2 linked regions of the Neurospora crassa OR74A genome follow. The protein of the gene in region 1 interacts with the protein of each later gene in a pairwise test. Links are inferred from orthologs where the notes say so. Each region holds a gene or a part of one and is shown on either strand. Other genes may lie near its edges. The genes, in order: NCU06149 and NCU09512.

The links.
Region 2: the proteins of NCU06149 (region 1) and NCU09512 interact in binary tests that used the Saccharomyces cerevisiae proteins (3 or more experiments, as listed by UniProt). The link is inferred for Neurospora crassa OR74A from reciprocal best matches to the Saccharomyces cerevisiae genes DHH1 and LSM3.

What each region holds. Positions count from the first base shown.
Region 1 is NC_026507.1:1,628,909-1,633,302, reverse strand, and holds the start of NCU06149 (ATP-dependent RNA helicase dhh-1), read right to left. Parts: upstream 2,889-4,394; 5' UTR 2,180-2,888; coding exon 2,136-2,179; intron 2,082-2,135; coding exon 416-2,081; 3' UTR 1-415. UniProt on the Saccharomyces cerevisiae protein: ATP-dependent RNA helicase involved in mRNA turnover, and more specifically in mRNA decapping by activating the decapping enzyme DCP1.
Region 2 is NC_026503.1:55,548-59,114, reverse strand, and holds NCU09512 (U6 small nuclear ribonucleoprotein), read left to right. Parts: upstream 1-1,722; 5' UTR 1,723-1,886; coding exon 1,887-2,009; intron 2,010-2,119; coding exon 2,120-2,212; intron 2,213-2,369; coding exon 2,370-2,447; 3' UTR 2,448-3,033; downstream 3,034-3,567. Other genes in the region: NCU09511 (hypothetical protein), read right to left, coding at 1-1,303; NCU09513 (GTP-binding protein 1), read right to left, coding at 3,339-3,567. UniProt on the Saccharomyces cerevisiae protein: Component of LSm protein complexes, which are involved in RNA processing and may function in a chaperone-like manner. Component of the cytoplasmic LSM1-LSM7 complex which is involved in mRNA degradation by activating the decapping step.

The sequences.
Region 1 (4,394 bases):
TAAACCCCACACCACCCAAGACTCCGCGCCCATGCCGAAGCGTTGTAAGCCGTGAATGCGAACAGGATGAAGCTGGACCGTATCGAAAAATCCTTGAAATGGGGCAAACTCCAAAAGAGAATGTGTCGTAGTACAGTTCCGTGCATGTCGTTGAACTGTTTGCAGGGTCGGCAGAAAGAGTGTGATAGACGAGTCTGCCGTAGCGTAAACGCAAACCTGACAGGCCGAGGGACAACACTTGCCGTCATGGTAGCCCATTCACAGTTCGGGAGGAACAGAAAGAGATGGCCGAAAAAAAAGGACGACTAATATGTACAATTCAAAGACAAAACAACGTGGAAGCGATGCATGGTCGCACACCTCCTCACATTACCACATATCCCCCTCCTTCCAAAACTTGTTGGGAGAGTTTACCCTACTGGGCAGACAGTGGACCCTGAGGCTGGCCCTGACCTTGGGTACGAGGACCGCGCTGACCACCGTAGTTCTGGTTCTGACGGCCTCCCTGGCCCTGGAAACCACGTCCACGACCTCCGCGGCTGCTACCGGGCTGCCCGCGATTGTTCTGGTAGTTGGTGGGTCTGGGTTGGTTGTTGGAAGCACCTGTGCCATTTTGGCGACCGTTTTGCCCTTGCCAATCACCCTGGGCCTGGGGGATGGGTCTGTGAGGCTGTTGAGCTTGAGGATTGAAGCCAAGTTGTTGGTTGCCCTGTTGAGGCGGGAGCTGGTTTGACGGCTGTGTCTGTGTTGAGAAATGCTGTTGCTGTTGAGACTGTTGAGGCCTTTGCGATTGCTGCAATTGCTGTTGCGGCTGCTGGGCAATAGGCTTGAAGGTCGAGATGGGCCGGGGAATCGATTCAGGGTTCTCGTACACGTAGAGGCTCTTGTCAATGGTCTGAGGAATGGGCTGGATCTCTGTACCAAGATCGCGCTCAATGTTGTAAAGGTTGAATCTGTCATCCCAATTGATCAAGTTAATAGCAAGACCAAGGTGACCATAACGACCAGAACGACCAATACGGTGGAGGTACGTCTCGGCGTTCTTGGGGAAATCGAAGTTGATGACAACGTTCACTGCCTGAATGTCAATACCGCGGGTGAGGAGATCCGAGCAGACCAGGTTGCGGCAAACACCGTTGCGGAAGTCGTGGAAGACACGGTTTCTCGCCTGCTGAGCCATTTTGGCATGACTGTAGAAGCACGAGTATCCAAGCTCAGTGATCTTTTTGGCAAGCAGTTCGACGCGGTTGGTAGAGTTGCAGAAAATGATGGACTGGTTGATCTGCAGCTTGGAAAACAGAGTGTTGAGGCAGTGAACCTTTTGCTTCTCCTCAACAAAGGCATAGTATTGAGTGATACCGCGGAGCGTAAGCTCGTCCATGAGGTTGATCTCGTACGGGCTAGTCATGTTCTTGTCCGAGAAATCCTTGACCGAAAGAGGGAAAGTGGCGGAGAACAGCATGACCTGACGATCCTTGGGGTGGAACTGCAGGAGCTGCTCAATGACGGGGGTAAACTCTTGCGACAGGAGCTTATCAGCCTCGTCCATAATGAACATTGGGCACTCGCTGAGATCGGCCACCTGCTTGCCAGCTAGATCGAGGATACGACCTGGTGTTCCGACGACGATGTGTACGGGGTCCTGCAGACGCACAATGTCGTCCCGCAGGCCAGTTCCGCCGGTTGTCACCATGACGTTGATGCCGAGATGCTTGCCGAGCGTCTTGCAGACTTGGGATGTCTGCATGGCAAGCTCACGGGTGGGAACGAGAATAAGGCATTGGATCTTGGAGACCTTAGGGTTGATCTTGTTGAGGGCGGGAATGACGAAAGCGGCGGTCTTGCCGGTGCCGTTCTTTGCGCGTGCGAGGATGTCTCGGCCGGTGAGGGCAACGGGGATCGCTTCTTCCTGAATCGGGGACGGTTTCTCGAAGCCAGCCTCGAAAATGCCCATCAAGAGATCCCTGTCGTGTATGAAGTCTTCCCAATCCAGACCCCTCGTGTTTGTAACATCCTCGGTCTGTTGTCTTGTGTCCCTGGCAGGTAGGTTAAGTCCCTTTTTCCAGTCTTCCGGGCCTGAGCTATCAAAAACATGTCAGCTGGGTTTGGGACAGAAGGGAAGGCGGTCAACCTACCTCAGACTAGTAGCTTTCAACTGATCCGCTAGTTGGTCGGACATTTTGCCGGATGGTCGTTGTTCGGTTGTGGAACCCGTGGTCGAGGCTCAGATGTTGCAGAAAGGAGAGCGTAGAGCGCGATGGCTTCGTCTCCGGGTGTGTGTAGCGAAATGGACAAGTGGTTGACAAGGGGAGAGGAGCACTAGTTGTGGGTGGGAATCCCCTCTTTCTCTTTTGTTTTTCGGTCTGTTGACGGTGAGCAGAGCCAGACAGATGTAGCTTTGTAGGCGGAGGCGGAGGCCTGTCGCGAGCGGTCGTGGGGCAAAGATGAGACGGCGGTGGATGGGGATGGGGTCGCGAGGAGGCTCGTTGCGTGTGGGAGCACCAAGGACGTTCTCAGTCGTTTGATTTTGCCTGTATGCCTCGAAGTCAAGCGACGTCTTTTGTGGGAGAGGCTGCGAGGAATCCGATTCGGGGTCGACGGCTGGGACTTGATTGGCCTGTGAAAACTGAAGGGCGAATCAAAGCGACGTGTGCGATGCCGTTGGGAGAGTGGGACGAGATGGTGCTTTGCAGCGAGCTCAAAGTGTTTCTGTTCTGTTGTGATTGAAGTGTTGTCGTTGTTGTGGTGGTGGTGGTGGTCGTCGTCTGAAAGCGGGGCAGAAAGGCAGAGAGTTTGAGGGAAACTTCCGAAGCTTGGACGAGGCGAGGCGGTGCGGAAGTCGTGAATGATTCAGTGCTGTTTAGGACTGGGCGAGTGAGTGGACGAAGGAGCCGGAGCGTCCAGGTCCCAGGTCCAGTCTCCTCTCCTCGTCAAAACTGTTCACTCCACTGCCGAAAGGGTCTCGGATCACGTGTTCCCTTGATGTTCCCTGCCGAACCCTGCCTGCGCCTTCCAGTCCAGTTGTGTATCGCACAATCAGCAGCGTGTCCACCACGACGGGACCGAACGGGACCTCCATTTCCATACCTGCGTAGTGTAGTGTATCTCGTCTCATAATGGAAGGCGGCGGGGGGCGCCACTCATAGGCCACAAGTCGGCCGCGGCATCGCCTTCCAGTCCCACTTCAGGGGCAATTCGGTTTATACCTCTACTAGTGTACCTACACTATGACCGCTGCCTGTGCCTCCTCTCTGTTGGCCTGGGTAGTGTACACTGCATAGTAGTTCTGGTGGTGGCCCAGTGTACCTAGCGTACCTCTACATTGTATATATCGACGTCATCCGGCGCACTGGTGGGATATCGCGGGCGACATCCCGTCCATGGACGTCCTTCTGGGCTTTGTTACGTAGGTAGCCGAAATTGGACAAAGTAATGATCAAAGTTGACAAAAAGTTTGACAATTGGAAAACAGTTCGATATTTTCCAGCACGGTCAGATCCATGAATGTGTACATCATGCCCGTCTCTTCACTGCCGTCTTGCGTGCCCAGTGTCAAGTATGTACATAGGTACCTACAGAGAGGTACATTCGACTAAGTCTAGTAGTACCGCTTTTTTCAATTCGATTTGGATACCCCTTAGCTCCCCCTTTAGCGGGCTCGGCGGGCCACCTTACCCGATCTAGGTTTGTAAGCGAGCGCCCTACAGCTGACAGCCTCCTGCACACACCTTGTGCCAGGTGTAGCCACGTTCACATACCCACTCTGAGCGCCCAGAGGCTACAGTGGGCTTGCAGATGGCTTGCAGTTGGGCGCCAGCTTTACTGTAAAAAGGCTAGCCCCCCCTTAAGGGTACAGTCCCGGACCAAAAATAAAACACGTTTCTTTTTTACCCGCAAAAAGGGCCAAAACTCAACTCTATCACTCCCTAGTTTTCATGCCAACTACCTTTCAAAAGCAGATGCACTAAAGGAGGACAGAGTTAAATAGTTATACTCCCCAGATATATAAATGAAATTGACTTCATTGGTTTAGTAGTGTAATCACAATTGTTCAAATGAGAGTTTGAAAAGGATTTTTGGTTATAGTGCATTTAGAGTGCATTATAGTGGATAGAATCTGAGATACTTTTCGGAAAGTGACTTTAGTACTTACGCTTTTGCCCCCCGTTCGAGTGTATCTTTTCGGACAACTTGCATTAGTATCTCCTCTTAAAGTTATCTCTATTTAGAACGTGGAGTGAGTTTTGCAATAAACCACGTTGAGAAATTAAGAGTAGAAGAAGTTGAGTTTTGGCCCTTTTTGCGGGTAAAAAAGAAACGTTCGTTTTTTTTGGCGCCCCACTGTACCTATCCAAATCGACTTGGTTTTAGCGGTAATCGGGAACTGCCCCACA
Region 2 (3,567 bases), on another chromosome or scaffold:
GGGGAATCGAAAGGCGGTACACGGCAGAAACGTGGTCGAGCATCTTGCACGCCATGGCTATCATGCCGTTCGACCCATAACAGGTGGCGATTGTCTGCAAAAGACGGGTGGTAGGAGCCATGGGCGAGCCAGGCAGAAAGTCTCGCCGCCCGCCGGTGATCTTCAAGTCGCCGGTTTCGATGGAGCCAGAGACATCAATCTTGTAGTTAAAGTATAGAACGGACTGTACGTCTTCCATTACCCCTGTCCTGGCGTAGGCGATGAGAGCAGCGCAGACGAACTCTTCTGACAGTAGATGTAACCGGTTTCGCGCGGTGCCAAAGACGAGATCGACGGGTGAAGTCCGCCGTAACATCCTCATCAGATAATCCACCTTGTGCTCTGCGCCAGGATTCTGCCCAAACCTGTCCAGCCGCTTGTTGGTCTTGTCAAAGTTCATCTGTCGCAGCTGAGACAAGTTGTCAGGCGTGAAGTACGGCAGAAACCGCTGCTCGGGAAAGAGGTTTACAGGCTTGACGCGGAAGTCATGCCGGTTGTGTTGGGTATACAACGGTTCCGTCAAGAACCGGGCCTTGAGAAATTCGGCATACAGGTCCGTCTGGCGCTCCCACATCTTTTCAGAGACGTTCATGTGGAACCAGATCTTGCGAGCCAAGAGGGGGTCCGAAATCGATCCGGCGCATCGCAGCAGGACTTTGTAGTCGGACAAAAGAAGGGGAGAACCCGAGCGGAATCGACGAAAGGCAGCTTCGTGAACTAGGGGGTAAAGGTCGGTGTTTCTTTTTCTGACGCCGTAATTATTGACCAGAGCCCCCAAAGGGGACCAATCGGCCATGGCTGGGTCGACCCATATGTCTCCTAACGGATCTTGGTCTTTGTGAACGGCTTCGACGGGGTCAACGGAGCGGAGAAGTTCGCTGAATGCTGTTGGTGGAAGTTGAAGGATCTCGAGTTTGTTCTCCTTGAAATAAGTGAGCATTTTGTGGGGTTGTCTGAAGGCCGCGGTGAAGCCGTCTATCCAAGGCGACCGTTTTGTCACAGGTGGCTTCTTTGCGACGACGGGTCTTGCGAGAAGGGTTCGGAGGAGGAGGAGCTCATCTTGCTCGAGGGGCTGTCGAGGTCCGTCAAGTTGGTGACCGAATCCATGGTGGGCAAAGTTGCCTGGGTATGGAATTGCTGAGATGGGTTTTGCTGTTTGGGTCGTAGAATGGGGGAGCTTCTGGAGCTTGTTGACGGCGGAGGCTAGTCGTCGAGATTTCGGAGAAGGAACTCGAACCCCACGACAGGAGAGAAGGGCAGCCATTGGGTTGCAAATTGGGGTTGACGGCGTTGTACACCACCCCCATTGGCGACTTTCGTCCGCAATTGAAGCTCGGCCGTGGTGTTGAAGGGGAGCTGAGTGCCCTGGTGGGCGTGCCTAGGTACTAACTGAAGTCGAGGTGTAAGTCAACCCCGCTAACTCAAAGAGGAGAAGTGCGATGGATCTCGCGATGCCCGCCTTTGCAAATCCGGGGAAGGCCTGTTGTCACTTTGGGCGCCTGTTCCTGCCAAGACCTTGCCCAGCCGAAGCTCTGGCATAAGCGTTTAAGAACCGGTCAAGCTTCCACTTCGGAAGCGGTCAGTGCGTCGGGCTGCTTCAGTTGCTCTTGGCATGCGACCAGCTGGCACTGACCTCAATTCGCACCGAAGCGAGCGCTTCCAATCGGGCAGGCATGGAAACCCCCCGCCGTCCGTCACTGGCACTGGACTCACTCATCATCGTTCCAGGGCGCTGCAGCTGAGGTCCCCGCCATCAACAACAGGAACACAACGCCAACTTCATTTTTTTTTCTCTCTCTTCACTCGTTATTTATTTTTGGCTCTTTTGATATCACACATCACACAAAATGGCCGACGCAGTAGAAGATGCCGGCTCTGTTTCCGAGCCCATGGACCTCGTCCGCCTTTTGCTTGACGAGGTTGTCTGCGTCAAGCTGAGAGGTGATCGGGAGCTCAAGGGCCGTCTGCACGTAAGTCCACTCTTATGTTTACATATCCCCTTTTCAGTCGTCACATCTTTCCCGTTACGCCTCACTCACCACCACCCGAACTCATTGCTAACTCGGATACTGTGATGTAGGCCTACGACTCCCATTGCAACCTTGTCCTCGGGGAAGTCGAAGAGACCATTTACGTCGTGGATGATGAAGATACCGAGGAGGATGACCTGAAGGTATGCCATCTTTTCACTTACCCACCGCCACTCTCTCGTCAAACCACCTCTCACCCCTTTCCCATTATACCCACCCTCCTTCCCCTTTCCTTCTCATACCTCGTTTGTCTTTTTTGCTTTCCCTTTCCGTCACTCTCATATACTAACAAAAAGGCAGACCATCTCCCGCAAGTCCGAAATGCTCTTCGTTCGCGGCGATTCCGTCGTGCTCATCTCGCCCTTTACCCGTTCTTGAGAAGAGGCCGTGTATGTGGAGCGACCAGTTGACGAGCACGATTTCCGCCACCGCTACGGCATCAAACCCTTCTCCGGTGGCCCGCTTGGCCAGGACCGGTTGCCCATCGGCAGGTGGAACTTATTGCACGTGGCGGATGAGGCGCAGTTTTGGGAGGGGGTAGATAGGGAAGAGGAGGAGCATTTGGAAGAGAAGGGAAAGGAAACGGCAACGGCGGAGGGTTCTGGACAGTCAGCAGCCGAAGGTTTGTCTCAGTGGGAGTTGGACATGGGTCGTCGCTAAGCCTACCTACCTAGGTGGTGGCTACCTCAAGGTCGAGAGGGGCGGCGCTTACAAAGGAAACCGGTAACCAAGCTTCGGGAAGAGGATAGGAGAGAGATACAAGGAGAGAAGTTGGCTTGAGATGTGACTATCACCGTCATCACATCACGTTCATCGTTTGTCGTTAGAGCCGAAAGATAGATCACGGCACAGATATACCATTGTTATTCCCGGCCATGGAGCATTGATAGCCAGGCAATCTCCTTCCTCCTGAGGAGGCTGAAAAGGATCGCTCGTACAAAGAATACAGTACGTTGCTCAAGAATTTTCATATGTTCATTTGAGAATACCTGTAGGTCACTCATCTTCCACCGACACATACAAAAGCCATATCGTCCATGATACTACTACTACTACTACTCCTACTACTACTTGAATATCTGCAAGTAGTGGGTCACCACTAGTTCTGTACTGTGCCCTGACTGCGCCGCTCCGTATATGAGCCATCAAAACGAGGAGATGAGGCCATGCATCAAAGAAAGTATAAAGAAAAAAAGGTAACGCGGCCCCCAACTTGGGTCATCACAACATCATCTGCCCAACGCCAAATCAGCACCAGGTGCCAGGTCACTAAGCACCAACCTTCACCTCGTTACCGCCACCCTCATGTTTGACATCTTCAACGCCCGCAGCCACCTTATCACCCCCTTCACCTACATTAACCCCGCCCAACGGCCGTTCAGGATCATACCCCACACTCTTGACGATACCCAACCCCTTGGTTCTGCCTTCTCTGAAGAGAAGTCTGTCTCCCGGGACTAGGTATTCGGGTCTCTGGACAAACCGAAACGCGACGGTA